Anolis sagrei: one gene and its partner. The protein of the gene in region 2 interacts with the protein of the main gene of each other region in a pairwise test. Links are inferred from orthologs where the notes say so. Each region holds a gene or a part of one and is shown on either strand. Other genes may lie near its edges.

The links.
Region 1: the proteins of BLMH (region 2) and NUDT12 interact in binary tests that used the Homo sapiens proteins (3 or more experiments, as listed by UniProt). The two-hybrid records come from large-scale screens. The link is inferred for Anolis sagrei from reciprocal best matches to the Homo sapiens genes BLMH and NUDT12.

The regions. Positions count from the first base shown.
Region 1 is NC_090022.1:249,816,850-249,832,882, reverse strand, and holds the start of NUDT12 (NAD-capped RNA hydrolase NUDT12), read right to left. Parts: upstream 8,597-16,033; 5' UTR 8,520-8,596; intron 4,787-8,519; exon of another isoform or gene 4,643-4,786; intron 4,109-4,642; exon of another isoform or gene 3,736-4,108; intron 2,868-3,735; 5' UTR 2,865-2,867; coding exon 2,659-2,864; intron 1,620-2,658; coding exon 1,021-1,619; intron 129-1,020; coding exon 1-128. UniProt on the Homo sapiens protein: mRNA decapping enzyme that specifically removes the nicotinamide adenine dinucleotide (NAD) cap from a subset of mRNAs by hydrolyzing the diphosphate linkage to produce nicotinamide mononucleotide (NMN) and 5' monophosphate mRNA.
Region 2 is NC_090031.1:33,769,034-33,785,297, forward strand, and holds the start of BLMH (bleomycin hydrolase), read right to left. Parts: upstream 6,848-16,264; 5' UTR 6,726-6,847; coding exon 6,710-6,725; intron 4,156-6,709; coding exon 3,958-4,155; intron 2,366-3,957; coding exon 2,256-2,365; intron 1-2,255. UniProt on the Homo sapiens protein: The normal physiological role of BLM hydrolase is unknown, but it catalyzes the inactivation of the antitumor drug BLM (a glycopeptide) by hydrolyzing the carboxamide bond of its B-aminoalaninamide moiety thus protecting normal and malignant cells from BLM toxicity.

The DNA of each region.
Region 1 (16,033 bases), on a different chromosome or scaffold from region 2:
GGCACAATCTTCCATCAAGCAAGATTTCTTGTAGCCTCCATCTTCTAATTTGGTTGCACTGCCACACGTTGGACAAAACTGATATCGGCTGTCCCATGCTAAAACAGATCTAGCTTGGGCAACGACTCCTTAAAAATGACCACAACAAACCATAAATCTGTGAGGGTTTTCTGACACCAAAGAATTATTACAACATCAACTTTCCAGTTTTCCATAAAACTTAATGTAACTGATTTATGATTTTGAAAAAGATACTGTTTATAAAATTGTACCTTTCCGCTAGCAGGCACTCAGGGCAATGAATAATATTACACTGTACATTAAACATTAAAACTGCACATAAAACTCAAAGAACAATGGGACAAAATCTGAAAGGTATATGAACAGCAAAACATTTATCCACTACAAGAGTGATAGAACATGACAGACTTTGGTATCAATCTAAAGCAGAACAGGGGAAAAGCTTATATTTTGTCTTGTGGGAGAAAGTTCAACAATTTAGGTGCTGCCAGAACTCCCCAGAGAAAAAGAGTTGGGAAAATTTATTTATTTGTTTATTTCATTAATTTCTACCCCACCATTCTCCCCACAAAGGTGACTCAGGTCAGCCATTTCTAGAATGCCATTTCTAGAAGAAGGAGAAGGAGGAGGAGAAGGAGGAGGAGGAGGAGGAGGAGGAGGAGGAGGAGGAGGAGGAGGAGGAGAAAAATATCTGAAATGTGCAGTTCCGTGATAAATCATTATATTCTCCTCCCACTCCCGGTGAAGCAACTCTAAAATATAAAATAATAATAATGAGAAGTAGTGCCCAGACCATAACTTAGGGCTTTGATATGAAGTTGCCCAGGTAACCTGTACAAAACCATAAAGGAAATACAAAGGAATATTAAATCTTGCTAAATCAGATTTCTGAATCAAAAATATGTTTTTATCTCTTTGTCTCGTTTAATTTAATTGAATCCCTGTTGTAATCATCTTAGGTGACAACATGTCAGTAAAAAGAAATGTTCAAGTACTCACCAGCTTCATTTTCAGACAATTGCAGCAATGCAGGCATTGGTGGCTGAAGGAAATAACAACTCTGATGTTTCTGTACAAACTTGTCAGCAGAAGTAGCATCTAAACTGAGAGAAAACCAAGCAACTAGCCCATCATCTTCACCTTCATTAGAATTTTGCCCATTCACAGTTGGAAGAGATCTACCTCTCAGTTCAAGTTCTACTCCAAGAAAAATCAGTGTGATGGTTTCAGTGTGCTCCAGGAATTCTTTGACATCTTTATAGTGAAGCCGAAAAAGTTTAGCTTTTGGAGATTGGAAATTATCTTCTTCATCTTGCTCTGATACAACCAATGGACTTAAATTTGAAAAAAGAACATATACTGTAGTTGGCAGCTTCTGTTTTGCATTTAGCCATTTAGCATCTGTCCTCTTCTCACTTTTCCTATCCAGAAAGGTCCTGCAAAAATAGTTTTCATGCTCTCTGGCTTCACTGTTCAGGAAGAATGGTTCCAGTCCAGGCTTCATATTAGCTAACAAGTTAGCTATGTTCTTATAACCCCAAAATTGAGCGATGTCCAGTGCAGTCTGGTTTGATGCATTGGATATGGACTTGTCACACCTTTTAAAATGCAAATTATAAAATTAACAATGTTTTCAAGTTTAAGTGTCCCACCAACATTATCGCTTGTCATGTGATCTGGGGATTTTGGGGCTTATAGTTCAAAAAACAACTTCTCTAAGCCACCTCACAGCCTATCCGGAATGAGAATGTCAGCTGAATAAAGCACACATGGCTCCCAGCTAGGGGTTGCTGAACTACTGCAAATATTGCTTGCAAGCCATGAAGAAAATCAAGATTTTTTGTTCTAATTACCATGTGTTTCTTGTTCCAACATTAATGCTTTCTTTCACTGAGCCAAATCCACAAAGAGTCATTAAGTGTAACACAATGGGCAAAATCAAACTGAAACAGATGGAGAACAAACGGTTTGTAGAACTCATGCTTGTCTGGCAAAGCTGCTTTGGAGTTGCAAACTGAGCTACTGGAGAAAAATGATGCAACTTTGAAGACAGCAGGGGTCCCCACTTCCTTTACTATACAATTAAACTGTTCAATTGTATGCTTAGGGCTGCAATCCAATGTTCAGCATGATTTACTTCTAAATATGTACAGAACTGGCCAATAAACACCACTATATCTCAATCCTAATACTTATCTATTTACGTATATGTAAGTGTAACTAGTACTTGATCCTAAGTGCTACCCCATCACAAACTGAATAGTCAGTAATTGAATTAACAGTATAGTCTAGCATGAATATTTGCTATCTGCTAATTATCTTTAGAAAAGAACCCATATTACAAGTGTGTCACACATTAAAACGGATAGTTCATAGGTTAATGGATGTCACCCTTTGTTTCCCTGGTTTGCAAAATGATAATTATATATTGTTTATTCCTAGAGTAAAAGAGTCTGAGATATAAAAAGACATGACTTTATGTTTACATTCATTTTTTTATTTTAGCGTTGAAGTTCAGCGTCTGCATAAGTCTATTAGAATTGTGAATATAGGGAAAGACAGGTACCCCGATACAATCATTCTGTTGTAACTTTTAATATGGCATACAAGGAACAATTAATTTTCTATTTTAATTACCCTTTCTCTAGAAGAACCTGTACAATGTCAAAGTGCCCATTTCTAGCAGCAAACATCAATGCTGTCCAACCATTCTTCGCAGTTTCATTGATAAGGGATGGAGAATGACTGAGCAGGGCCACAAGCCTGGCCTTGTCTCCCGTAGCAGCTAAATTGTGAAGCTCAGAAATCAATCGTTGTTTTGGATTCCTTTGGATATCTGCCATTATCTGTGTGGATAAAAACACAGAGCTTAAAATGTTATTAGTATATAACAGGTCATCTTTAAATCTAAATTTAAAGATGGGCTCAAAGCCAACCTTAAAAACTCTGGCATAGACACTGAGAACTGGGAAGCCCTGGCCCTTGAGCGCTCCAGCTGGAGGTCAGCTGTGACCAGCAGTGCTGGAGAATTTGAAGAGGCATGAATGGAGGGTGAAAGAGAAAAATGTGCCAAGAGGAAGGCGCGTCAAGCCAACCCCGACCAGGACCGCCTTCCACCTGGAAACCAATGCCCTCACTGCGGAAGAAGATGCAGATCAAGAATAGGGCTCCACAGCCACCTACAGACTCACAAGAATTCTCATCCTGGAAGACTATCCTACTCGGCCAACAACGGATTGCCTAAGTAAGTAAGTAAGTAAGTAAGTATATAACAGGTAGAGGTGGCTCAAAAAACTAGCATAAAAGATGTTTTAAGTTATCAGAGATCAATCTTTCTAGAAAGGACTAGGTCAAAATAGAAGTACTTTGAACATACTTGCAAGTTGTTATACCTTGAGTAGTGAAGGTTTTTGCTTATAGCAAATGCTTTTTTCTCACATAATAATAATAATAATAATAATAATAATAATAATAATAATAATAGCAACTTTATTATTACACCCCACCATCATCTCCCCGAAGGGACTCGAGGCAGCTTACATATGGGACAAAATGTCCACAAAACATAAAACAAAACAATAAATAAATAAAACAAAACACAAATAGGAGCATCATAAAATATAGCAATCCAGATAAAACACATTAAACACAACAGAATAAAACAAATTGCATTGGAGCATTTTTATATTTTATGAAAGATTATTACAAGCTTACTTTGCAAAACTCAGGCACGTGTCTCTGAGGAAATCACATTGATGTCGGAAAACCCAGAATACACACAAGGATTTTTGACAATGTCTAGCTTGACCCACATTGACTCCAGGAAAACGACTGCTATCACACATAGGATACAATCGCTGGAATCTCTTTAACAACATACGCATGCTTTAGGGTGGTTTATCTGCCTTGTATGTCACTTTCAGGACAGAGTGCAAAGTTCTATTCTGCAACCCTTTGCGTAATGTTCAAAGCCTTTCACCCAATAGCTGTCACGCCCCTCTGCTGTCAGCGTCACTGCTTACTAGTGCAGAGAGAAGCCAAAGAGAGAATTCAACCAGTGTAGCTTCAAGGAGAAAAACAGGAAGGTACACTCTGTGAGTGTACTTCCATTTGCTTTCCTTCCTGGGCCATGAGGAGCAAGTTATCTAATTTTGATTTGCTTCCCTGTTGTCTCTCCTCCTTACTGTTAAGAAGCTATAGCAGTCCCTGCCAGAACATGACAACTGGAGAGAGAGTAGGGCCCCATCTATATTGCCATATATATTGCAGTTTAAAATTGCATTACATGGTCAATGTAGACCATGTAATGCAGTGTAACTGTACTGAACTCCATTATATGAGTCTACATTGGCCATACAATGCAGTTTTAAACTATGGCTTAGGTTTTGAATGGGACACTAAGGACTGGCAGAGATGTCAAACATATTGCCCTTCAAATGTTTGAGCCAGACGCACTAGCCAGCTTGCCCAATTGGCAGGAATTATGGGAGCTGAAGTCTAAAACACCTGGAGGGTCACAAGTGTGATACCACTGAGGATACCCCCTTGTACATTGTCAAAGAGAGAGAGAGAGAGAGAGAGAGAGAGAGGATATACGTAGGTATGGACGTATAATGCTTACTTGATGCAGCCCTCCACACTACAAATGGTCTGATGATTCAGTAACAGGCCCTGAGCAAGGCTTGCAGGATGTTTTGCAAGGTTGTTCATGGTTTGCTCTTTTGGTGACCTCTCATTTCTAGGGTCACCATACGTTGAAATTCCACTTGATGACAAAAAGAATTCAAAGACACAGCCATGTTAATCTGGACTAGGATCTTGTAGTGAGTGCATTTGTAGAATTAAGGCAGCTTGGCATCACTTTAGTTGTCATGGTTCAGTAAAAAAGGTAAAGGTTTTCCCCTGACTTGTCTAGTCATGTCTGACTCTGGGGGTCTGTGATCATCTCCATTTCTTAGCCGAAGATTCGATGTTATCCATAGACACCTCCAAGGTCATATGGCTGGCATGACAGCATGGGGCGCCAATACCTTCCCGCCAGAGTGGTACCTATTGATTTACTCACGTTTGAATGTTTTCGAACTGCTAGGTTAGCAAAATCTGGGGCTAACAGTGGGAGTTCACCTTGCTCTCCAGATCTCAACCACCGACCTTTCAGTCAGCAAGTTCAGCAGCTCAGTGGTTTAATCCATTGTGCCACCAGGGGCTCCTTACATGGTTCTATAATATGGAATAATGGGAGCTGTAGTTTAAAGGTCTTTCATCTTCTCTGCCAAAATGTGTTGGTGGCTTACAAAAATACAGGTCCCAGGATTCTATAGCACTGAGCCATGGCTCTTAAAAGTGCTGCCAAATTGCATTAATTCTACAGCAAATCCACTCTTTGTTATAAGAGTGATCTAATAGGCCATTTTCCAATACAATACCTAGGCAAATATTTCCACACACAGTGTTTTCACTTTGAGGCATGAAGTCTGCTATCTGCTTGTACTTAGAACTGCCCAGAATATGAACATAAAACCTTCATTAATTAGCAGTGAATAGCACTAAATTCACAGGTGCTTGTTTCTGAGTAAAGATGTATAGGATTGCACTGTCTATTATCTGGTTCAGGCAGGATGGGAATCATGCAGCCCTCCAGATGCTGTTGGACTTCATCTCCCATAATTCATCTTCAGGGAGATAGGTTGGGATATAAATAAAGTTTTTTATTATTATTATTATTAGTCTGTTGTGAGTTTTCCAAGCTGTATGTCCAGGTTCCAGTACTATTTTCTCCTGACCTCACAACCTCTGAGGATGCCTGCCTTAGATACAGGCGAAACGTCAGGAGAGAATGCTTCTGGAACATGGCCATATAGTCTGGAAAACTCAACAAACTAGTGATTCTGGCCATGAAAGCCTTTGACAATACATCATCAGCATTCATTAACACTGATGAGGACTGATGGGAATTACAATCTAGCAACATCAGAAGGGCTACATGATTTATAGCTCATCCTGTATTATTGCTGTCACACAGCGCAAATAGCTCTTAAGACTCAAACACGTTTATATCAGAATGTACTAAAGGCTTAAGATCCTCCATCCAATGTACTTGGGGCCAGAATTATGCTGGATTTTTTGTTTGTTGGATTGCGGAAATCTTGTATTTGCATATTTGTACAAAATGGGATATCTTGGAGATGGGACCCAAGTCAAACCATGAAGTTTATTTGTATTGAAGGTTTTAAGTTTTGTTATGTTTTTAATGATTGTTTTAATGTATATGTTTATTTTACTATGTATGTCCATATGGCATCGAATTGCTGCCTATGTATGTAAGCCGCCTTAAGTCCTCTATGGGGCAAGTAGGGCGGGGTATAAATATGGTAAATATTTCATATACATCTTATACATATAATCTGAATGCAGTTTTATACAACAATAAGGTTGTGCATGAAAGAAATTAAAATCTGAAAGACTTCAAAATCCTGGATAGCTGAGTGATACTTTTACTTTCCCAAAGCATTGTTACCTAAAATTTGTTTCATGCACAACCTTATTAAAAACAGTGTGTATAAATTCCCCCCCCTCCCCCCGAAGCCATGTGTATATGAAACATAACTGAAATGTCATGTTTGGCATTGGGCTCCCAACTCTAAGGCTGCATCTACACTGTAGAATTAATGCTGTTTGACACCACCTGAAATGAAATCATGGGGACTGTAGTTTGGTGAGGTACTAGTCATCATGAGCAGAGAAGGAGAAAGACCTTGTAAAACTACAACTCTAGGGATTCCATAGTTTTGATCCATGGCAGTTTTTTTGTCATGTCAGGAGTGACTTGAGAAACTGCAAGTCGCTTCTGGTGTGAGAGAATTGGCTGTCTACAAGGACGTTGCCCAGGGGACGCCCAGATGTTTTGATGTTTTACCATCCTTGTGGGAGGCTTCTCTCATGTCCGTGCAATGGGGAGCTGGAGCTGATAGAGGGACCTTATCCACACTCTTCCCCGATTCGAATCTGCAACCTGTCGAATCTGCAACCTGTCGAATCTGTAACCTGCCGGCAAAGGGGTTTAACCACCTCGCCACCGGGGGCTCCAGCCATGGCAGGTAAAGTGGTACTCAAACTGCAATTCTCAGGAGATTTCTTAGGGTCCTTCCACACAGCCAAATAACCCAGGATACTAAGGCAGAAAATCCCACAATATTTGCTTTGAACTGGGTTATCTGAGTCCACACTGCCATACATTCCAGTTCAAAGCAGATATTGTGGAATTTTACTCAGCTGTGTGGAAGGGGCCTCAGTATATGTAAATATTCCAAACTCTAAAACACTTTTGGTTCCAAGCATTTCAAAAAAGGGAACCTCAACCTGTATTACTCTGTTTATTTGAAAGCATTACTACATCTCTGTCTTCTTTTCTCACATACCACCCACTCTTTGGTAATATCCTTGCTGGGTTGTTGTAGGTTTTTCGGGCGATATGGCCATGTTCTAGAAGCATTCTCTCCTGACGTTTTGCCTGCATCTATGCAAGCATCCTCAGAGGTTGTGAGATCTGTTGGGGTTGTGAGGTCTGTTGTTTTGGGCTATATGGCCATGTTCTAGAAGCATTCTCTCCTGACGTTTCACCTGCATCTATGGCAAGCATCCTCAGAGGTTGTGAGGTCTGTTGTTTCGGGCTATATGGCCATGTCCTAGAAGCATTCTCTTCTGATGTTTCGCCTGCATCTATGACAAGCATCCTCAGAGGTTGTGAGGTCTGTTCTTTCAGGCTATATGGCCATGTCCTAGAAGCATTCTCTCCTGATGTTTCGCCTGCATCTATGACAAGCATCCTCAGAGGTTGCAAGGTCTGTTGTTTCAGGCTATATGGCCATGTTCTAGAAGCATTCTCTCCTGACTTTTCGCTTGAATCTATGGCAAGCATCCTCAGAGGTTGTGAGGTCTGTTGTTTCAGGCTATATGGCCATGTTCTAGAAGCATTCTCTCCTGACGTTTCGCCTGCATCTATGGCAAGCATCCTCAGAGGTTGTGAGATCTGTTGGGATTGTGAGGTCTGTTGTTTTGGGCTGCATCTATGGCAAGCATCCTCAGAGATTGTGAGGTCTGTTGTTTCGGGCTATATGGCCATGTTCTAGAAGCATTCTCTCCTGACGTTTCGCCTGCATCTATAGCAAGCATCCTCAGACCTCTATGCTTGCCATAGATGCAGGCGAAACGTCAGGAGAGAATGCTCCTAGAACATGGCCATATAGTTTGAAAAACCTACAACAACCCAGTGATTCCGGTCATGAAAGCTTTCGACAATACAATATCCTTGCTGTTCCTGCTGACTTCGGGTTGAGTGACAGAATAGGAAACTGTCGGGACCAAAGACCAAGCAAGACAGCTCAACAAAGCCTCCAATGCGTCTAAATGCAGAAATTGAGAGAAGGTGGCCTCTGGGATCAAGAGGAAGCCGTCTGCACCTTGGAAGAGAGAGAAGAGGCGCTGAAAAAACCAGTTACCTAATTCCTGGCCCAGGAAATCACCTCGCCTCCAGCAATCCGCCGACACTTCCGGGTTCTCTTGGACGCTCCACCCCTCAGCTTGGCGGAGGAGAAAGGCATCCTGGGAATTGTAGTTCGCCCAAAGGGCCTACTTTCAGGAAAAAACAGGCTTTAGGCCTTTCCTGTTTCCCCAGTGGCTTTTTCTTGTGGAGAACTGTGCCCTTCCAAACAAAACAGGAGTTGAGCTCATGTTTGTGTATCTGCAGGGCTGTCATCTGTTTCAAATGTATAAAATTACTTGAGAATAATAGTAACAGACTTTAGTTATGTGGGTGCCTCAGTCACTCAGGCCTGGGCAAACTTGGGCCCTCCAGAGGTTTTGGACTTCAACTCCCACCATTCCTAACAGCCTCAGGCCCCTTCCTTTTCCCCCTCAGCCGCTTAGTGAAGGAAGGGGCCTGAGGCTGTTAGGAATGGTGGGAGTTGAAGTCCAAAACCTCTGGAGGGCCCAAGTTTGCCCAGGCCGGAAAGTGACACCAGGCACAATATATTTGGCTTCGTAGCAATTGTGGCAAGATCTTGGTGGTATGGGCATACCAAGCCACCTTGTCTCTCTCCTGAGGAATCTGTACAAGGACCAAGTAGCAACAGTAGGAACAGACCATGGAACAACAGACTGGTTCAAGATTGGGAAGGGCGTACAGCAGGGTTGTATTCTCTCCACCTAACCTATTCAACTTGTATTCAGAACACATCATGCAATGTACGGGGCTTGACGAATGCAAGGCTGGGGTAAAAATCACTGGAAGAAACATTAACAACCTTAGATATGCAGATGATACCACTTTGATGGCCAAAAGTGAGGAGGAGCTGAGGAGCCTTCTAATCAAGGTGAAAGAAGAAAGCGCGAAAGCTGGGTTGCAATTAAACATAAAAAACCCCCCAAGATTATGGCAACTGGACTGATTGATAAATGGCAAATAGAACGAGAAAACATGGAGGCAGTGACAGACTTTGTATTTCAAGGTGAAAAGATTACTGCAGCCAGGAAATCAGAAGACACTTACTTCTTGGGAGAAGAGCAATGACCAATCTCGATAAAATAGTGAGGAGTAGAGACATCACACTGGCAATGAAGATCCGCATAGTAAAAGCAGTGGTATTCCCCGTAGTCACTACGGATGTGAGAGCTGGACCATAAGGAAGGCTGAGCAAAGGAAGATAGATGCTTTTGAACTGTGGTGTTGGAGGAGAGTTCTGAGAGTGCCTTGGAACACCAGAAGATCCAACCAGTCCATATTGCTCACTGGAGGGAAGAATATTAGAGGTAAAGATTAAGTATTTTGGCCACATCATGAGAAGACAGGAAAGCTTGGAGAAGACAATTATGTTGGGGGAAATGGAAGGAAAAAGGAAGATGGATGGTATCCTTGAAGTGACTGGCTTGACCTTGAAGGAGCTGGAGGTGATGATGGCCGACAGGGAGCTCTGGCGTGGGCTGGTCCATGAGGTCACGAAGAGTCGGAGACGACTGAATGAATGAACAACAAGCCATTCTCTCCCCTCTGTTGTTTAACATCTATATGCGACCACTTGCTCAGCTGGTTCGAGGTTTTGGGCTTGAGTGTTACCAGTATGCTGATGACACTCAGCTTGTGCTGAAGATGGAAGGCCGACCGGACTCTGTACCCAATTGTTTCCATCAGTGCCTTGAGGCCGTTACTGGATGGCTGCGTGCCAGTAGGTTGAGGGTAAATCCAGCAAAGACGGAGATCCTATGGCTGGGTCAACCAGGCAGTGGGGATATCCAGCTTCCTACCCTGGATGGCGAGGTGCTACGCCCGTCATCATTGGTAAAAAGTCTGGGAGTCCTTTTGGACCCTCTGCTGACGATGGAGGCCCAGGTCCCCTATCTGTCCAGGGATGACCTAGGCTATGGTCATCTCAAGACTGGACTACTGTAACGGCCTCTACATTGGCCTTCCTCTGTCAGTGATCCGGAAGCTCAAGTTGGTACAAAATACAGCTGCTCGGGTTCTTGCGGGAATTCCGATGAGATTCCACATAACACCAATATTACTACAGCTGCACTGGTTACCAATTGAGCACCGGATCACTTTCAAAGTGATGGTACTCACCTTTAAGGCCTTGCATGGTCTGGGGCTGATGTACCTGAGGGACCGCCTCACCCACTACCAAACCCAGAGATCCCTTTGTTCTGAAGACCAAGATTTGTTGGAAATTCCCAGTGTCAAGACCTTGCATCTAACAGCAACCAGACACAGAGCCTTTACAGCAGTGGCACCATCACTCTGGAATACTCTGCCACCTGAAGTCCGTGCCTTGCGGGACTTATCAGCTTTCCGCAGGGCATGTAAGACATATCTGTTTTGATGGGCCTTTGATCTTTGATTGCTGTTTTTAAATTGTTTTTAAATTGTGTTCAATTTTAGCCTGTTCTTGTAAGCCGCTCCGAGCCCCAGGGGAGTGGCGGCATATAAGTTCAAATAATAAATAAATAAAATAAATAAATAGTCTGCGCACTATTGCGCAGTGTACAATGCAGAAATCGAAGAAAGAATGGGAACAAATGGCAGGATCAGAAATCAAAGTTGTCATTGTCATTGCTATAAAGGAGGCAGCACAGTTACACTATAGACCGGCAGTCTTCAAATTGCAAACATCCGAGTTACAAATGACACATAGTTAAGAACAGGGATGAGGTAAGGAAGTGAGAGGAAATCTACACCTTGGAAGGGAAATTAGCTCCTGGAAGAGTTATCATGGGTGTCGCCACTGAAGAAGTCGAAAAGGTGTCGCCACTGAAGCTTTCTCGCCAATCCTTGTTTCTACAACAAGCCTTGTTTCCATAACAAGTGAGGGGAAATCTTCTAAACAGGGGCACAGAGAGCAAAATAAACATCATATGGGTGTTAATCCTTCTCTATGCTATCCAAGGCATACATGCACACATACACATGTATGGCTGGAATTACACTTATAAAATGTACCTGTTCTGATTTACAAGTTAAGAACCTATCAAGTGTGTTAACCCTTCCCTATGCTATCCAAAGATATATGTATATGTGTGTATGTGTGCATGTATAAATTGGCAAGCATTACATTTATAAAAGTGGGAGACATCATGCCCGCTAGAAACTGCTAATCCCTTTATTGAAGAAAGGAAGTGGAACAAGCAAGAACCTCAAAGAAGAGAGACTTGCAACCCTGAAGATTTTGGAAACCGAGGCCTCATCTATATTGCCATATTGTTGTTTATTCGTTCAGTCATTTTTGACTCTTCGTGATCTCATGGACCAGTCCATGCCAAAGCTCCATGTCAATCATCACCACCCCCACCTCCTTCAAGGTCAAGGCAGTCATGTCAAGGACAACATCCACCCATCTTGCCCTTGGTCGGCCCCTCTTCCTTTTCCCTTCCATTTTCCCCAGCATCATTCTCTTCTCTAAGCTTTCCTGTCTTCTCATTATATTATCAAAGTACTTCATCTTTGCCTCTAATATCCTTCCCTCCAGTGAATAGTTGGGCTTATTTCCTGGAGTATGGACTGCTTTGATCTTCTTGTGGTCCAAGGCATTCTCAGAATTTTCCTCCAACACCACATTTCAAGTGTCTATCTTACTTTGCTCAGCCTTCCTTATGGTCCAGCTCTCACATCCGTAGGTGACTATGTGGAATATCATTGCTTTAACTATGTGGACCTTCGTTGCCAGTGTGATGTCTCTACTCTTCACTATTTTATCGAGATTCGTCATTGCTCTCCTCCCAAGAAGTAAGCGTCTTCTGATTTCCTGGCTGCAGTCTGCATCTGCAGTAATCTTTACGCCTAGAAATCCAAAGTCTGTCACTGCCTCCATGTTTTCTCCCTCTTTTTGCCAGTTAGCAATCAGTCTGGTTGCCATAATCTTGTTTTTTTTTTTAAATGTTTAACTGCAACCCAGTTTTTGCACTTTCTTCTTTCACCATGACTCCTTAGCTCCTCCTTACTTTCAGCCATCAAAATGGTATCATCTGCATATCCAAGGTTGCTAATGTTTCTTCCAGCAATTTAACTCCAGCCTTGGATTCATTAAGCCTGACACTTCACATGATGTGTTCTGCATACAAGTTGAATCGGTCGGGTGAGAGTATATAGCCCTGCTGTACTCCTTTCCAATTTTTGAACCAATCTGTTGTTCAGTGGTTTGTAAATTGCCATATAATGAGTGTGAAACTATGGGCCCTTCCGTATAGGTCCTGTAGCCCAAGGTCTGATCCCAGGTTTTCTGCTGTGAACTGGATTATATGAATCTGTACTGCCAGATAATCTGGGATAAACAGAAAACCTGGGATCAGATTCTGGGATATAGGGCCTATCTGGAAGAGCTCTACCTTATATGGGAGTGTAGATGGAGCCTGAGTCTTAAGGAGTTTGAAGAATTCCCTTTTGCTGTGAAACTGACAACACTGGCCCTATAAAAACCAAATTATCAGCTTTGAACTGGGTTATATGGCAGTACAGATTGATATAATTCAGTTCAAAGCAGATCATGTGGATTATCTGCTTTGATAATCTGAATTATATGGCAGTATAGAAGGAACCATTGACAACCACAAGTGTAATCCTGCACTTATGTAGAACTCCTTCATTTCTAGAAGTTTTCTGAAAGAGATTTGATCAGCAACAAACTATATTTTTCAAATCATAGCATGCATTTTGTTTGACTATCTACCAATCTGTCCATCACCCTATTTATGAAAATATTTATAAGCTTCCATGCAACCTAAAAAAATCCAAGGAGGCTGGCAAGGAATAAAATCAGAGCAAAAATGTATAAATCTGTTAATATTTAATATGAATTAATTATTAACAATGATAATTTATAAAAGCAGAACTCAGCAGCTTTCATGTCTTTTTTTTTTTTACTCTGACTAATCCTAAAACCAATTCACCTCTAGACTCTTTTGAGACCACACTCCAAGGATGTTTCTCTTCTTTACACACATTATTGTTTCACAACTTTGTTCCAGCGCTCTCTCCTTCCATACTTACTGATACTGAAAACCGCAAGGAATCTTTCCTGCTTTACACTCTGCTATTTTTATATGTTGGTTACTTTATTAAATAATTAAATGACATTAAATCATTTAAGCCTTTTAGAAGAAGACAAGTGGAAAACAGTAATTGGAAACAACATTTTAAAAGAGAGAATGCTTCATGCTTGTTGATGGTACTTGCGTGCCTCATTACTTTTGAGAAAAAATATTGGTGACAGTGTTATGCCAGTAATCCTTAATGTGTTTGATCTTTAACTCCTCTGGGAAGATTTCATCTGTCTTCCCAGGTATCATTACGACAGTAATGCAATGCTGATTGCCACAATATTTAAAATATTCAAAAATGCATTAAAAACCATCATAAAATATGAGTTGACTATAAATAACATAAAGTTAGTAGTGCTAACCTGATTTTATTGCACATCTGTGACATGATACCTTATGAAATTTGATAGGTTTTAATGGTTAAACTCCCGAATGTTGAAAAAACAAGAACATTAGTTATATATTAAATACCTCTGTAATCCACAGGTTCTGTCCACAACATGTCACAACAAGCCATGGTATGGTATCTTAAAATCTGTATCTCTTGTAACAAACCACAGTGTGTTACTATGTTATGGAATTACAATGTGAATCTAAAACTTGTTGTTACCTTAGAAAGTCTGATGTTCTCAGCAGACCACACTGATACCAAGGTAACTGGCAAGAATAATGGTACTTTGTTCTTCCTGATGTCTTGCTCAGAGTGGTACTTTGGCTCAAATTGGCAACCATAAATAGTTTTCTCACATCTTAATCTAATCTTAATCTCATCAGAGAACAGCATCTCCTAGGGGTAGTTGGGGAGCCCCCGGTGGTGCAGTGGGTTAAAGCTCTGAGCTGCTGAACTTGCTGACCGAAAGGTCGCAGGTTCGAATCCGGGGAGCTGGGTGAGCTCCTGCTGTTAGCCCCAACTTCTGCTGACTTAGCAGTTAAAAAATTGCAAATGTGAGTAGATCAATATGTACTGCTTTGGCGGGAAGGTAACTGCACTCCATACAGTCATGCTGGCCACATGACCTTGGAGGTGTCTATGGACAATGCTGGCTCTTTGGCTTAGAAATGGAGATGAGCACCAACCTCCCAGAGATGGACACAACTGGACTTAATGTCAGGGGAAAACCTTTACCTTTACTTAGGGGTAGTTGATTTGTGTGACTGCTATGAAATAATAACATCTATACATCTTTTCATTGGTGTATGTGTTTATCTGGAACAATGGAAGATCTATCTTCAAGTTAGATAACTGCAGAAGTGAGATAGGGGCTGAGCTACACTCACCCTTTATCCTGATCTGACACATACCAGCTCAGTCTTAGGTTGGATGAGACAGGTACCTCCCTGATCACTTTGGAGACAGGAGGGAGTACTGGATACCCTTACCATCCCCTCCGTTCTCCTTGTCATGGTAGTCTCCAAGTGCAACATGGGTCCTTTCTGGCTGGCTATCTGATAGTGATGGTGGCCAGGGAGATGGGGGAGGGGGGACAAGGAAAGGGGTAGATGGAGGACTCACCTCTCCTTTCCCTTCCCTTCCCCAATTGTCCCATCACCCTGTCCGACATCACTGATCAGTAGGACCCGTGTTATGGTTGGGGACTGCCATGGCATTGAGGATAGGAAGGGACAATGAGTGCCACCCTATGTCTCTGGGCTGCTGAAGCCCAGGAAACGTGGGATGGCAAAGAAAATAGTTTTGGCCGGTTCTGTCTCAGAAACAGCCCAATTGTTTACACAGGCTCAAAGTCAAGGGATGCTCTGAGTTTGGAGTATTCTCCAACTTTGGCTCATGTGGGGCAAGGTTGCATTAAGGCTGCCTTGCCTAAAATTACTCTGGATCCTTGTGGTGTTTGCCATCACATAACTGATTTGGGCACATTCCTCAGTAAGTGGACAGTGTAGATGTGCCAAGGATTAATAAAATCATGTACCCTCTTAATAAAAATGTAGGTCAAACTGCATTTTAGTCTGGTTGGGAAAAATCTCTAAGGCCATAAATCCAGTGGGAATCAGTCCTATTAAACTCAGTAGGATCAACCTTTGAGCAGACATGCGTGGAATAGTACCACTTGAAGAGCTACTGATGCTTCATTCACGGAGGGCATCAAGTCTGCCTTAAATCAGTGGTGTTTGTTTTGTTTTGTTTTTAAGTAGCATGGATTCATTAGCAAAGGTTCTTCAGACAGTGCTTGACCTTCACATACATATTCTAATTTGGAAAAAGAATCTTGTTGAAATTCATCTGTGAATGCGATCACGGTTCTGCTGAGTTTTAATTTACATCATTGGATCCTAAAATGACTAGTTCAATGCACAATGAGATTTGTATTTACATGTCCATAGATATCGAAGTGAAGTCTGGAGAGAAAAAAATCTATGCCAATTGTGCCATTAGGACATATTTGCAAAGGTAGGGCACAACATAGATCTT
Region 2 (16,264 bases):
CAATGCGACTTAAGCAACGTACATGGCAGGTACTGGCTTGTTCAGTAGACTCTCCTCAACAGTTCCATTTTAGCAGGAAGTCTTAGCATTGAACGGTTGAGTTGTTAAAGTGCGAAGTATGAAACCCTGCGCAGTCGGTCGGTCAATGTGACTTAAGCAACGTGCAGCCATTGAATTCTTGACAGCAGAAGGTGTCACCCCAAAGGAGATTCATCAGAGAATGCAAGCTGTTTATGGTGATTGTGTTGATGTGAGTACTGTGCATCATTGGGCGAGTAAGTTTAAAGATATTGAGGGGACACCTTCTGCTGTCAAGAATTCAGTGACTGCACGTTGCTTAAGTCACATTGACCGACCGTCTGCACAGGGTTCCATATTTTGTACTTTAACACCACAACCGTTCAATGCTAAGGCTTCCTGCCAAAATGGAACTGTAGAGGAGAGTCTACTGAACAAGCCAGTACTTGTCGTACACCAGTACTGCCATCTGTTGAGGAGTTACAAAGGTGGATGCATTATTTTGACCACTAGCTCCCAGAAATTGACACAACTGGACTTAATGTCAGGGGAAACGTTTACCTTTACTATAGGGGGGTATTATTGAAATGTTTGGAGAGATGTATGTGCGGGATGTCAGATTGTCTTGGCGAGGCCTTGATTAAGAGGCAGGCTTCCTCCCAACGCGTCTCTGTGTTTCAATGTTCCTCCAGCTGTCAGCCTTCCAACCCCCTGGAGCTAACCCTTTCTCTGCAACTATCACCACAAATCTTGTGGCTGCAAGTTGGAAAGAGTAATTACAGGGTGTACGGAGAAGTTACTTCCTTCTGCCAAAGGTATCACTCCATCAGCAAATTCCGTCATGATGGGAGAAGCGCCACGGCTCCCCACAATCCCTTTGCCGCCCGTGCCCTCTTTCCACACCAGAAATAAAGCTACAAAGCTGTGATTTGTATTCCAAATTATGTAAATGCCTGATGATTATTTATACAACATCATTATTTCACATTGGTTCAGCCTCCCGCTCACAGGGCCTTCTCAGCAGCTGCTCCCAGGCTCTGAAATGTCCTTCCTAGAAGGACCAGAGTAGCTAAGCAGAGAAAGTCCTGATTAAGAATTGGATGGGAGGCCACCAAGGAATCCAAGTGCCATCTGATCTATTTTAGGGGAACTGGGAAGACCACACCTGTCGATCACTGAAATCCATGAGGTTGCCATAAGCCAACTTGAAGGCACAGACACACAGTACCACCCATAACAACAACAACAGACCTCACAACCTCTGAGGATGCCTGGCATAGATGCAGGCGAAATGTCAGGAGAGAATGCTTCTGAAACATGGCCAGGCACCCTGAAAATGCTTCTGGAACATGGCCAGGCAGCCTGAAAAATTCACAACAATCCAGTAGTTGTTGTGTACTCCTACGTGGCACTATTGGGGTTGGACTGGCTGGCCCTTGGGTGTCTTTTGTAACTATGGTTCTGTCTCCATTCCTCTTGTTTACAAAACCTCACAACCTCTAAGGATGCCTGCCATAGATGCAGGAGAAACGTCAGGAGAGAATGCTTTTGGAACATGGCCAGACACCTGGAAAACTCACAACAATCCTGTTGTTGTTGTGTACTCCTACGTGGAATAATTGGGGTTGGACTGGCTGGCCCTTGGGTGTCTTTTGTAATTATGGTTGTATCTCCGTTCCTCTTGTTTACAAAACCTCACAACCTCTAAGGATGCCTGCCATAGATGCAGGAGAAACGTCAGGAGAGAATGCTTTTGGAACATGGCCAGACACCTGGAAAACTCACAACAATCCTGTTGTTGTTGTGTACTCCTACGTGGAATAATTGGGGTTGGACTGGCTGGCCCTTGGGTGTCTTTTGTAATTATGGTTGTATCTCCGTTCCTCTTGTTTACAAAACCTCACAACCTCTAAGGATGCCTGCCATAGATGCAGGAGAAACATCAGGAGAGAATGCTTTTGGAACATGGCCAAACAGCCTGGAAAATTCACGACATTCCTATTGTTGTTGTGTACTCCTATGTGGCATAATTGGGGTTGGACTGGCTGTCCCTTGGGTGTATTTTGTAACTATGGTTCTATATCCGTTCCTCTTGTTTACAAGACTTCACAACTTCTGAGGATGCCTTCTATGGATGCAGGAGAAACATCAGGAGAGAATGCTTCTGGAACATGGCCAGGCAGCGCGAACAACCTACGACATTTTTGCTGGGAGAAGGAAAGTTTCTGCACGCCAACCTTATCCCAGAAGAAGAGATGGGCCTGGCTGAACTCAAACTCCTCGATGTTGAGCTTCTTCATGAATGGAAGGCGCATCACGTTCAGGCAGGAGAAGATCCAGCAGCGGCCTGAAGAAAGAGAACAATCAATCAAAACAGAAGCAGAGGGGAAATGCTCCAAGCCAAGATGTCTCCAAAGTGTTGTGCAATGAGGACTAGCGGCAACACACTCCCTAATTGTGCAATTTCCCTTTCCAGGAAGTCCAGTCAGCTCCCTCCCTGTTGTTGTTCTTCCACCACCAGGCAGGACCTTTTTTAATCTAGGGAAGGCTTTGGGTTTTGATAGATTGCGGCAGAGTGCACGCTGTGGGTGAGGTCGTCCGGAGTTTGTAAGCCGCCTCAAGTCGCCCTCGGGCTTGAGAAAGGCGGGATATAAATATCCCCCTGGGCAACATCCTTGCAGATGGCCAATTCTCTCACACCAGAAGTGACATCCGGGCAACGTCCCCTGGGCAACATCCTCGCAGACAGCCAATTCTCTCACACCAGAACCGACTTCCGGGCAACGTCCTTCCAGACGGCCAATTCTCTCACACAAGAAGTGACTTCTGGGCAACGTCCTTCCAGACAGCCAATTCTCGCACACCAGAAGCGACTTCCGGGCAACGTCCTTCCAGACAGCTAGTTCTCTCACACCGGAAGCGACTTCCGGGCAACATCCCCTGGGCAACGTCCTTGCAGACGGCCTATTCTCCCATACTGGAAGCGACTTCCGGGCAACATCCCCTGGGCAACGTCCTTGTAGACGGCCAATTCTCTCACACCAGAGCGACTTCTGGGCAACGTCCTTCCAGATTGCCAAATCTCTCACACCAGAAGCAACTTCCGGGTAACATCCCCAGGGCAACGTCCTTGCAGACGGCCAATTCTCTCACACCAGAAGCGACTTCTGGGCAACATCCCCTGGGCAATGTCCTTGCAGACGGCCAATTTTCTCACACCGGAAGCAACTTCCAGGTAACGCCCCCTGGGCAACGTCCTTCCAGACGGCCAATTCTCTCACACCAGAAGCGACTTCCGGGCAACATCCCCTGGGCAACGTCCTTGCAGACGGCCAATTTTCTCACACCGGAAGCAACTTCCGGGCAACATCCCCTGGGCAACGTCCTTGCAGACGGCCAATTCTCACACAGCAGAAGCGACTTCCGGGCAACATCCCCTGGGCAACGTCCTTGCAGACGGCCAATTCTCTCACACCAGAAGCGACTTCCGGGCAACATCCCCTGGGCAACGTCCTTGAAGACGGCCAATTCTCTCCCATCGGAAGCGACTTTGGGGAAACGTCCCCTGGGAAACGTCCTTGCAGATGGCCAGTTTCTCAAGTCGCTTCTGACACAAAATGAAAAAAGATATAAATTTAATAAATCTTCCAGAAGAGCTGGAATTAGCTTTCATCTATTGTTATTGTGACTTGTGTTGTTACTACTACTTCTAGTAGTAATAGTATACTGCTTTTCCTCCCAGGACTGGAACCCAAAGCCTTAATAACTATAGTCACAACCTCTGAGGATGCCTGCCACAGATGCAGGTGAAACGTTTGGAGAGAATGCTTCTGTAACATGGCCAGATAACCCAAAAAACTTACAACAACCTAATAACTACACAGTTTGAAAAGCTATGAAGAGCCAGCCAGGTATAAGGAGGTGCGTCCTCCTCCTTACCTGAGTTTTTCTGGTTGGTGACAGGTTTGCCCTCGGCAGGTATGGCGTGTTGGAACACCTGGAGGGTGTCTTGCACCACGCTCCGCTCCAGGCACAGCTCCAGCGGATCCCCACAGGTGGCCACATTTTGGGCCAAGTGGTACCGCGGCTCCGCTTTCAGGCTGAGGGTGAAAGCTTCGGCTTTCTTCAGGCTTAACCCTGTCCGGAAACAAAACACGGCAGACTGTAAGTTGAATTGGCAGCACTCGAAATAGCCGATTTGCCATCCACCTTCCAAATAAAACCAGGTTAGTAACAAACAGGTGTGAGGTTTCCTTGGAAGGAAGGAAGGAAGGTAGGGCCAGGAAATAGGCTCAAATGGGAAACTCCCTTGCAAGGTTGTTGTGAGAATTAAGTAGAGGAAGGAAAGGAGAGAATAAAGTAAAAGGAGAGAATAAGGTAGAAGAAGGGAAGGAGAGAAGGACAGGAAGGGAAGGAGAGAATAAAGTAGGAGAAAAGAAAATAAAGTAGAAGAAGGAATGGAGGGAATAAGAATAAAGTAGAAGAGAAGAAGAGAATAAAGTAGAAGGAGAAAAGAGAATAAAGAGGAAGGGAACAAGAGAATAAAGTGGGAGAGAATAAGACTAAAGTAAAAGAAGGGAAGGAAAGAAAAGAAGAGAATTAAGGAGAGGAAGGGGACGAGAGAATAAAGTAGGAGAGAAGAAGAGAATAAAGTAGAAGAGAATAAAGTAGAGAGAAGAGAATAGATTCAGTGGAGGATGAGATGAGAGAATAAAGTAAGAGAAAGAGAATGGAAGTAGAGAAGAAGGGAATAAAGTAAAGAAGAAGAGAATAAAGGAGAAGGGAAGGAGATAATAAGGCAGCAGGAGAGGAGAGAATAAAGAAGAGGAAGGGAACAAGAGAATAAAGTGGAAGGAGACAACAAGAGAATAAAGTAGGAGATAATAAGACTAAAGTAGAAGAAGGGAAGGGGAGAAAAGAAGAGAAGAAAGGAGAAGCGAAGGATAGAATAAAGTAGATGAAGGTAGTAAGAGAAGGGAAGGGGAGAAGAGAATAAAGGAGAAGGGAAGGAGAGAATAAGATATTAAGGTAGAAGGAGAGAAGAGAATGAAGTGGAAGACGAGAACGAGAGAATAAAGTAGGAGAGAATAAGACTGAAGTAGAAGATGGCAAGGAGAGAAAAGAAGAGAATAAAGGAGATGAATAGGATAAGAGAAGGGAAGGAGAGAAGAACAGAATAAAGTAGGAGAGAAGAGAATGAAGTGGAGGACGAGAACGAGAGAATGAAGTAGGAGAGAATAAGACTGAAGTAGAAGATGGGAAGGAGAGAAAAGAAGAAAATAAAGGAGATGAATAGGATAAGAGAAGGGAAGGAGAGAAGAAGAGAATAAAGGAGAGAATCATAGAATCAAAGAGTTGGAAGAGACCTCCTGGGCCATCCAGTCCAACCCCATTCTGCCAAGAAGCAGGAATATTGCATTCAAATCACCCCTGACAGATGGCCATCCAGCCTCTGCTTAAAAGCTTCCAAAGAAGGAGCCTCCACCACACTCCGGGGCAGAGAGTTCCACTGCTGAACGGCTCTCACAGTCAGGAAGAGAATGAAGTGGAGGATGAGAACGAGAGAATGAAGTAGGAGAGAATAAGACTAAAGAAGAAGAAGGGAAGGAGAGAAAAGAAGAGAAGAGAAGAAAGGAGAGGAACGAGAGAATAAAGTAGGAGAGAATAAGACTGAAGTAGAAGGAGGCAAGGAGAGAAAAGAAGAGAATAAAGGAGATGAATAGGATAAGAGAAGGGAAGGAGAGAAGAAGAGAATAAAGTAGGAGAGAAGAGAATGAAGTGGAGGACGAGAACGAGAGAATAAAGTAGGAGAGAATAAGACTGAAGTAGAAGGAGGCAAGGAGAGAAAAGAAGAGAAGAAAGGAGATGAATAGGATAAGAGAAGGGAAGGAGAGAAGAAGAGAATAAAGTAGGAGAGAAGAGAATGAAGTGGAGGACGAGGATGAGAGAATGAAGTAGGAGAGAATAAGACTAAAGAAGAAGGAGGGAAGGAGAGAAAAGAAGAGAAGAAAGGAGAGGAACGAGAGAATAAAGTAGAAGGGGAGAAAAGAAGAGAAGAAAGGAGATGAATAGGATAAGAGAAGGGAAGGAGAGAAGAAGAGAATAAAGTAGGAGAGAAGAGAATGAAGTGGAGGACGAGAACGAGAGAATAAAGTAGGAGAGAATAAGACTAAAGAAGAAGAAGGGAAGGAGAGAAAAGAAGAGAAGAAAGGAGAGGAACGAAAGAATAAAGTAGGAGGAGAGAAGAAGAGAATAAAGCAGAGAGAACAGATTCAGAATAGGCTAGTTATCTTAATTTTGAACCTTGCAGGGTCTTCTCAAGGGATAAGGTCACCCTGTTTTGGGGAAGAATGTGTTGCTCTTGCTTCCTGTGCCTGTCTCTTCCCAATGCAGAAGACACAAAGGCACTCTGCTCGTGCTCAGGAGCCCTTCAGGACCAAGGAGAGGGGAAGAGGGGGAAAGAAGGTGAGGGCCCCCCCCTCCCCTCCCTGGAGGCCCTCTGCACATGCTCAGGGGCCCCTCTCCTCCTCGGCCTACACGGCATCCCTCCCTCCTGCGGGTGGGGAAGGGGAAGGGGAAGGGGCGGCCCTCTGCACATGCCCAGAGTCCCTCCCTCCCTCCCTCCCTCCCTCCCTCCCTGCCTGCCTGCCTGCCTGCCTGGGGTCCCGCTGCCCCCTGTCCCCCGCTGCACCTGGGAAGCTGCTCATGGTGGAGGCGGAGAAGAGCCAAAGAAGAGCCGGGCAGCGGCACCGGAAGCCGCTTTTATATGGCCTCGGAAGCAGGAAGCCCGCCTGGCCCGCGACGGGGAGCCGGGAGGGACAAAAGGGGGACGCGCTCGCTCGCTCTCTCTCTCTCTCTCTCGGAGCAGAGAGTCTCTTAAAGGGGACGCCACGAATTTGATTCTCTACCATCCCTATCATCTATCTGTATCTATACATACCATATATATATATATATATACACACCCATACATACACATACATATACACCATATATATATATACACACACACATACACTCCATATATATATATACACATACACATACAATCCATATTTTTATATATATATATATATATACACACACATGCATACATACACACCATGTATATACACACACACCATATATATATATATACACACACACACACACACATACATACACACCATATATCACATACATACACACCATATATATATATAAATATATATATATATGCACACACACATATATACATATACACACACCATATATACACACACATACATACACACCACATATATATATGCACATACACATACAATCCATATTTTATATATATATATATATACACACACACATGCATACATACACACCATGTATATACACACACACCATATATATATATATACACACACACACACACATACATACATACACACTATATATCACATACATACACACCATATATATATATATATATATGCACACACACATATATACACACCATATATATACACACACATATATATACATATACACATACGCACCATATATATATATACACACACACACACCATATATACACACACACAACTATATACATACACACACATACATACACACACTATATATATACACACACACATATACATGCACACATACACACTATATATATATACACACACATACACATACATACATACACACATGAGCACCATATATATACACACACACATATATACATATACGCACACCATATATACACACACATACATACACACCATATATATATACACACACACATATATATATACACATACACACACACACACCATATATACACACACACACAAACATATACATACACACACACATATACATGCACACATACACACTATATATATATATACACACACACACACCATCTATATATATAATATATAATATTATATATATATATATATATATATATATATATATATATATATATAAATACTCTGTGCATAATGAGTACCTTAAAAACAAAAGAACCAATGAACGAAATCACACCAAATTTGGCAACAAAACGTCTCACAACACGAGGAGTGACCATCACTCAAAAAATTATGATTTTGCCATTTGTGAGTTGTAGTTGCTGGGATTTATAGTTCACCTACAATCAAAGAGCATTCTGAACACCACCAACGATAGAACTGGTACCACTCCAGCGGGAAGGGAACGACGCTCCATGCAGTCATGCTGGCCACATGACCTTGGAGGTGTCTAGGGACAACACTGGTTCTTCGGAGATGAGCACCAGAGTTGACACAACTGGACTTAATGTCAAGGGGAAACCTTTGCCTTGGTATGCATCTGACAGTGATAGATAGAAGAACTGCTTTCTTGCTGTAACTTCCACCGAATTTAATTACGGCCTTCCGTTGCAATGCCAGGACTTGCCCTCCACTCTCCTTTGCATTCAAGTAAACAAGATTAAATGTTCCTTATGCTAATGAATGCTAATTTCAGGCGAGACTCAAGACTGTATGAGCCACACCTTCCACCTGATAGAAACCCTCATTAGGGCAGGAGCCGTCCTCCGTTTCAATTAAAAACCTCGTTCCCAGATGGGCCAAACAGTCCCCGCATCGGAGTCGCCGATCTCCTGCTCCATATTCAGGCGGTTAATATGGATTTTTAATTACCTGGAAATTATAGGGAGATGCAACGAAGACGCTTTACCGGTTCCGTTTGTAAATAGTATGCTGATTCTGCACCTGGCTGCTCTCTTGCTCTAACTCTGTGTATAATTGTTTAGCAATAATCATTTCCATTTGGAAAAACATGAGATTTGCTCCATTAAAAAGAAATACGACCCCTTGGTGACGCAGCAGGTTAAACTGCTGAGCTGCTGAACTTGCTGACCAAAAAGTCGCAGGTTCAAGTCCGGGGAGCGGGGTGAGCTCCCAATGTTAGGCCCAGCTTCTGCCAACCTAGCAGTCTGAAAACATGCAAATGTGAATAGATCAATAGGTACCGCTTCGGTGGGAAGGTAACGGCACTCTCTTGCTCCATCTACACTGCTATATAAAATCCAGATTATCTGCTTTCAATTGGATTATTGGACAGACAGCAAGCTATTTACTCAGCAGACTGAAAGCCAAAATTAAGGTCACAACAACATCAGTTATAGAACTTCAATATGCTGATGATAACATAGTCAGTGCACATTCAGAAGAAGACCTGCAAGCCACTCAACACGCTTGCAGAAGCATACGAGAAGGATGGCCTCTCATTGAACCGCGAGAAAAACAAAGTGCCCTTCCAGAAAAAAGAACCAGCCAATCCCTCTGCAAGGCCAGAAACTGAAACACAACACCGCCTGAGCTCTGCGAGTGCAGCATTCTTCCGAATGAAGCAGAGAGTGTTCACAACAACATCATTTATAGAACTCCAATATGCTGATGATAATGTATTCGGTGCACATTCAGTAGAAGACCTACAAGCCACTCTCAACACGTTTGCAGAAGCATACAAGAAGGATGGCCTCTCATTGAACAGTGAGAAACCCAAAGTGCGCTTCCAGCAAAAGGCACCAGCCAATCCCTCTGCAAGGCCAGAAACCGAAACACAACACTGCCTGAGCTCTGCGAGTGCAGCATTCTTCCGAATGAAGCAGAGAGTGTTTGAGGACCGGGACATCCGTCGGGAGACCAAGGGCTTGTTTATAAAGCTATTGTCCTCCCAATCTTGTTCTACCCCTGTGAAACGTGGACTGTCTACAGATGTCACACTCAACTCTTAAAACAATTCCATCAAAGCCATGCGCTGCTTCTCCTCCATGCCATGGTCATCGACAGATAAGGACGAGAGGCATTCAGGGAAAACGAAACCAATTTCTCAGTGCTTGGAATGGCTTAATGTGAGGATATAAAGTTCCAACAATGGGAAATGTAGTCAGATGAAGCATCGTTTCAGAATCCTGCTAAGTTCTTGCTCTTGTCTCATAGTAGCCTTGCTTGGAAGATTAATGTTTAAGGATTTCTTGCTGTATGGTTTGACCGTTTCTCTCTTAACAGATTAGAGAGATGGGCCAAAACTAACAAAAGGAAGTTCAACGGGGACAAATGCAAGATACTCCACTTTGGCAGAAAAAAAACAAAATGCAAAGGTACAGAATGGGGGACGATGAGGCCTGGCTCGAGAGCAGGATGTGTGAAAAAGATCTTGGGGTCCTCGTGGACAACAAGTTAAACATGATCCAACAATGTGATGTGGCAGCAAAAAAAGCCAATGGGATTTTGTCCTGCATCAATAGGAGCATAGTGTCTAGATCTAGGGAATTGTGTCCAATTCTGGGCAGCACAATTCAAGAGAGATATTGACAACCTGGAATGTGTCCAGAGGAGGGCGACTAAAATTATCAAGGGTCTGGAGAACAAGCCCTACGAGGAGCGGCTTAAGGAGCTGGGCATGTTTAGCCTGAAGAAGAGAAGTCTGAGAGGAGATATGGTAGCCATGTATAAACTATGTGAGAGGAAGCCACAGGGAGGAGGAGGGAGCAAGCTTGTTTTCTGTTTCCCTGGAGACTAGGACGTGGAACAATGGCTTCAAACTACAAGAGAGGAGATTCCATCTGAACATTAGGAAGAACTTCCTGACTCTGAGAGCCGTTCAGCAGTGGAACTCTCTGCCCCGGAGTGTGGTGGAGGCTCCTTCTTTGGAAGCTTTTAAGCAGAGGCTGGATGGCCATCTGTCAGGGGTGATTTGAATGCAGTATTCCTGCTTCTTGGCAGAATGGGGTTGGACTGGATGGCCCATGAGGTCTCTTCCAACTCTTTGATTCTATGATTCTATGATTTTATCTGAACATGAGGAAGAACTTCCTGACTGTGAGAGCCGTTCAGCAGTGGAACTCTCTGCCTCGGAGTGTGGTGGAGGCTCCTTCTTGGGAAGCTTTGAAACAGAGGCTGGATGGCCATCTGTCAGGGGTGATTTGAATGCAATATTCCTGCTTCTTGGCAGAATGGGGTTGGACTGGATGGCCCATGAGGTCTTTCCAACTCTTTGATTCTATGATTGTGATTACATACTCATGTCTTGGATCAATGTTTCCCTGTTTCTTTGGATGTTACTAGACTGGACTTTGTTTTTGAACTTTGCTGAACCATACCTTGGACTAATTTGTTCCTGCTTATCTTCTTACCTAATTGGATTTACCTATTCCAGTGCTTTTTTACTTTGCTGCTTTTACTTATCTTCAATAAAAAAGGATAGTTTTCCTACTCAACGTGTGCCGCTTTGAAATCAGGGGGCTATTCTTGTTCTATGTATACACTACACTTGGAGGACCAACATACTCAGACGAGAAATCGCCTAAGTAAGTAAAGTACGTCAGCGAGCTCTGGATTGTCCGCTTTGATAATCTGGATGGCATTATAGATCCAGCCTCTCTTGACTGAAACCCAAAGGTGTGTAATTAGTGGCCATCAAGTCGGCCTGGGAACAAAGAGGGCAGCCACCCGATCGCTTCTGGAAAGTGTGCCACGGCAGGGCAAATAAGGATAGTAATAATAATAATATCTCCACCTGCCATAAAACCTTGCCACACGCCCAGTGAAAGATGTAATTTGACTTTGACAGTGAAATACTGCCTGCGTGTGCCTCCCGCTTGGCTTTCTGTTAAAAGCGGCCAAGTTTCTGAAATATGTTTTGATGGAACAATTACGGAAGGAAGAGAGAAGCTTGAGGAGTGTCGCCTTCCCATTGAGTTGCCAACAAGGGCAGAAAACAAAAGAAAAGGACCACATATTATTATGATTCTTACTACTACTACTACTACTACTACTGTGTTTATTATATTTAGATCCTGCTTTTCTATCTTAAGCAAGACCCAAAACGCTCACCACCTTATTTTGATGCACAACAAGTTTAGTACACCAGAAACAATTGCTACCAGAGATTTCCCATGATTTGGAGCTTGAGAACAGCTCGGCACCTGGCCCAGATGCAGAAGATCACAATGCTAGCTTTTGAATTGGATCGCACGTCGGACACTTCCCAAGTGTCTAGGACTGTGTGATGCATCGGCGAATAATGTGTGCAGATCCGACAATGGCGGCCTTTTGCAGCTGACTGGTGGTGATTTTGTTTTTAAGTCCAGGCCAAGGTCTTGAGGCACTGCACCCAGTGTGCCGATCACCACTGGGACCAGCTTGACTGGCTTGACCACCTGTGTGCCAATCACCACTGGGACCACCTTGACTGGCTTGACCACCTGACCGACTACACTGGCCTTTTGCAGCTGACTGGTGGTGATTTTGCTTTTAAGTCCAGGCCAAGGTCTTGAGGCACTGCACGCAGTGTGCCAATCACCACTGGGACCTCCTTGACCGGCTTGACCACCTGACCGACTACGCTGGCCTTTTGCAGCTGACTGGTGGTGATTTTGTTTTTAAATCCAGGCCAAGGTCTTGAGGCACTGCACCCAGTCTGCCGATCTCCACTGGGACCACCTTGACCGGCTTGACCACCTAACCAACTACGCTGGCCTTTTGCAGCTGACTGGTGGTGATTTTGCTTTTAAGTCCAGGCCAAGGTCTTGAGGCACTGCACCCAGTGTGCCGATCACCACTGGGACCACCTTGACTGGCTTGACCACCTGTGTGCCAATCACCACTGGGACCACCTTGACTGGCTTGACTACCTGACCGACTACGCTGGCCTTTTGCAGCTGACTGGTGGTGATTTTGTTTTTAAATCCAGGCCAAGGTCTTGAGGCACTGCACCCAGTGTGCCGATCACCACTGGGACCTCCTTGACTGGCTTGACCACCTGACTGGTGGTGATTTTGCTTTTAAGTCCAGGCCAAGGTCTTGAGGCACTGCACCCAGTGTGCCGATCATCACTGGGACCTCCTTGACTGGCTTGAACACCTGACCGACTACGCTGGCCTTTTGCAGCTGACTGGTGGTGATTTTGTTTTTAAATCCAGGCCAAGGTCTTGAGGCACTGCACCCAGTCTGCCGATCTCCACTGGGACCTCCTTGACTGGCTTGACCACCTGACTGGTGGTGATTTTGCTTTTAAGTCCAGGTCAAGGTCTTGAGGCACTGCACCCAGTGTGCCGATCACCACTGGGACCACCTTGACCACCTGAAAAACATCATTATTATTGCTGTTGCTACTGTTGTTGTTGTAGTAGTAGTTTCCTGCTTTTCTTTCCTGATCAAGATCAGTAGAGGCTCAGAACACTAAAAGCAATGCATATAAATATTTCCCATTATCCCCACCCGCAATTCCTTGTTGCACCAAGCTTCCTTTAATAATGATGATGATGACAAGTGAGCCAAAAATGCTGTAGCGTTAATGTAATTTGACCTCACGTTAATTGCCATAGGTATTCCAATGCGCACGGAAGGCATTAAAGGATCCCGGTGCCACAGTTTCCTGTCCAGTTAATTTCCTGCTAATGTACCTGCCTTTCTCGCTGTCGCAACACGGACTGAGTCAGCCTTATCTTTGAGTGACATTTGCCGCCGGGCTCCTTTTCCTAGAAGTCACACATCCATTTACACGCAAAGACAGGAATGTTATTCTTTGGGGTTCCAATCGAGATCACTTTAGATTACGCCGACTGTGATCTGCTTGTCGTTCTTTGGAATCTGCTGAGTTAGGACTCCTTTTGTTGTTGTGTACCTTTGAGTCGTTGTATGATTTAGCGTCTTGACTTGGCCTTACCTTAGTCTGAGGTTGAGAGAGTGTGACTTGCCCAAGTGGCTGAGCAGGGACTCGAATGCAGGTCTCTCAATGTCTTTGTCCAACGTTCAAGCCATGCTGCCTTTCTTTTTGAATAATCCTATACCTTATTATTCCTTTTGCACCAATAAAGCTATATAACACAATTTTTGCCTGTTCTTAAGGTGAGAGGCACACGTTTGCATTTTAGGTGGATTAGGAATCAGCTGTAATAGTCAGTAAGAGCACCTCAAGCTTTGGAGAGCTTCTGTTCAACAATTTCAAAGCTCCCTTCTTGAGCAGTGATGGCACGATCGTCAGCATAGATGAAACTCTCCATCCCTTCTGGCATTGGCTGATCAATGTTTCACCTGTAACAGGCAGTAAGAGCACCTAAAGCTTGGAGAGCGTCTCTTCAACCATTTCAAAGCTCACTGTATGAGTGGTGATGGCACGATCGTCAGCATAGATTAAATTTAGATGAATTAGAAATCAGCTGGTTTTCCCTGTAATAGGCAATAAGTGCACCCAAAGCTTTGGAGAGCTCTTCTTCAACCATTTCAAAGCTCCCTGCTTGAGCAGTGATGGCGTGATCGTCAGCATAGATCGTTTCCTCAGAGCTTGAGATGTTTGTCTGTTCTGAAGGTGAAAAGCACACTTCTGCATTTTAGATGGATGAGGAATCAGCTGGTTTTCCCAGTAATAGGCAGGAAGAGCACCTCAAGCTTTGGAGAGCTTCTGATTCAACCATTTCAAAGCTCCTTGCTTGGGCGGTGATGGCATGATCGTCAGCATAGATGAAACTTAGATGGATTAGAAACCAGCTGGTTTTCCCTGGAATAGGCAGTAAGAGCACCTCAAGCTTTGGAGAGCTTCTGTTCAGCCATTTCAAAGCTCCCTTCTTGGGCGGTGATGGCACGATCGTCGGCATAGATGAAACTTAGATGGATTAGAAACCAGCTGGTTTTCCCTGGAATAGGCAGTAAGAGCACCTCAAGCTTTGGAGAGCTTCTGTTCAGCCATTTCAAAGCTCCCTTCTTGGGCGGTGATGGCACGATCGTCGGCATAGATGAAACTTAGATGGATTAGAAACCAGCTGGTTTTCCCTGGAATAGGCAGTAAGAGCACCTAAAGCTTTGGAGAGCTTCTGTTCAACCATTTCAAAGCTCCCTTCTTGAGCGTTGATGGCATGATCGTCAGCGTAGATGAAAATTGGCAGTGGCCGTTCATTTGTGTAGATGTTAAACACTGATGAAGTGAGTAGTCCTTTGTGGTATTATAAATTCTTCTCAGGAGAAGCAACTTGCAGTATCCAGAGCCTAAAAGCAGTAAAGAGTCTACTGCATTCTTGCTGAGAGCTTTGGAGAGCTTCTGTTCAGCCATTTCAAAGCTCCTTGCTTGGGCGGTGATGGCATGATCGTCAGCATAGATGAAACTTAGATGGATTAGGAAACAGCTGGTTTTCCCTGTAATAGGCAGTAAGAGTACCTCAAGCTTTGGAGAGCTTCTGTTCAACCATTTCAAAGCCCCCTTCTTGAGCGGTGATGGCACAATCGTCAGCATAGATGAAACTTAGATGGATTAAAAACCAGCTGGTTTTCCCAGTAATAGTCAGTAAGAGCACCTCAAGCTTTGGAGAGCTTCTGTTCAGCCATTTCAAACCTCCCTTCTTGGGCGGTGATGGCACGATCGTCAGCATAGATGAAACTTAGATGGATTAGGAATCAGCTGGTTTTCCCAGTAATAAGCAGGAAGAGCACCTCAAGCTTTGGAGAGCTTCTGTTCAGCCATTTCAAAGCCTTCTTGAGCAGTGATGGCACAATTGTCAGCATAGATGAAACTTAGATGGATTAGGAATCAGCTGGTTTCCCCTGTGATAGGCAGTAAGAGCACCTCAAGCTTCGGAGAGCTTCTGTTCAGCCATTTCAAAGCTCCCTTCTTGAGCAGTGATGGCACGATCGTCAGCATAGATGAAACTTAGATGGATTAGGAATCAGCTGGTTTTCCCTGTGATAGGTAGTAAGAGCACCTCAAGCTTCGGAGAGCTTCTGTTCAGCTATTTCAAAGCTCCCTTCTTGAGCGGTGATGGCATGATCGTCAGCGTAGATGAAAATTGACAGTGGCCGTTCATTTGTGTAGATGTTAAACATTGATGGAGTGAGTAGTCCTTCGTGGTATTATAAATTATTCTCAGGAGAAGCAACTTGCAGTATCCAGGGCCTAAAAGCATTAAAGAGTCTACTGCATTCTTGCTGAGAGCTTTGGAGAGCTTCTGTTCAGCCATTTCAAAGCTCCCTGCTTGGGTGGTGATAGCATGATCGTCAGCATAGATGAAACTTTCTGACCCTTCTGGCAGTGGCTGGTCATTTGTGTAGATGTGGAACATGGATGGGGCAAGCACGCTCCCCTGAGGTAGGCCGTTCTTCTGTTTCCGCCATCTGCTTCTCTGGCCCTGGAACTCAACAAAAAAGCTCCTGTTTGGTAGCCGTTTTCCTATGAAATAGGTGAGGGGGTCATCCTTGGTGATATTATAAGTGGTTCTCGACCT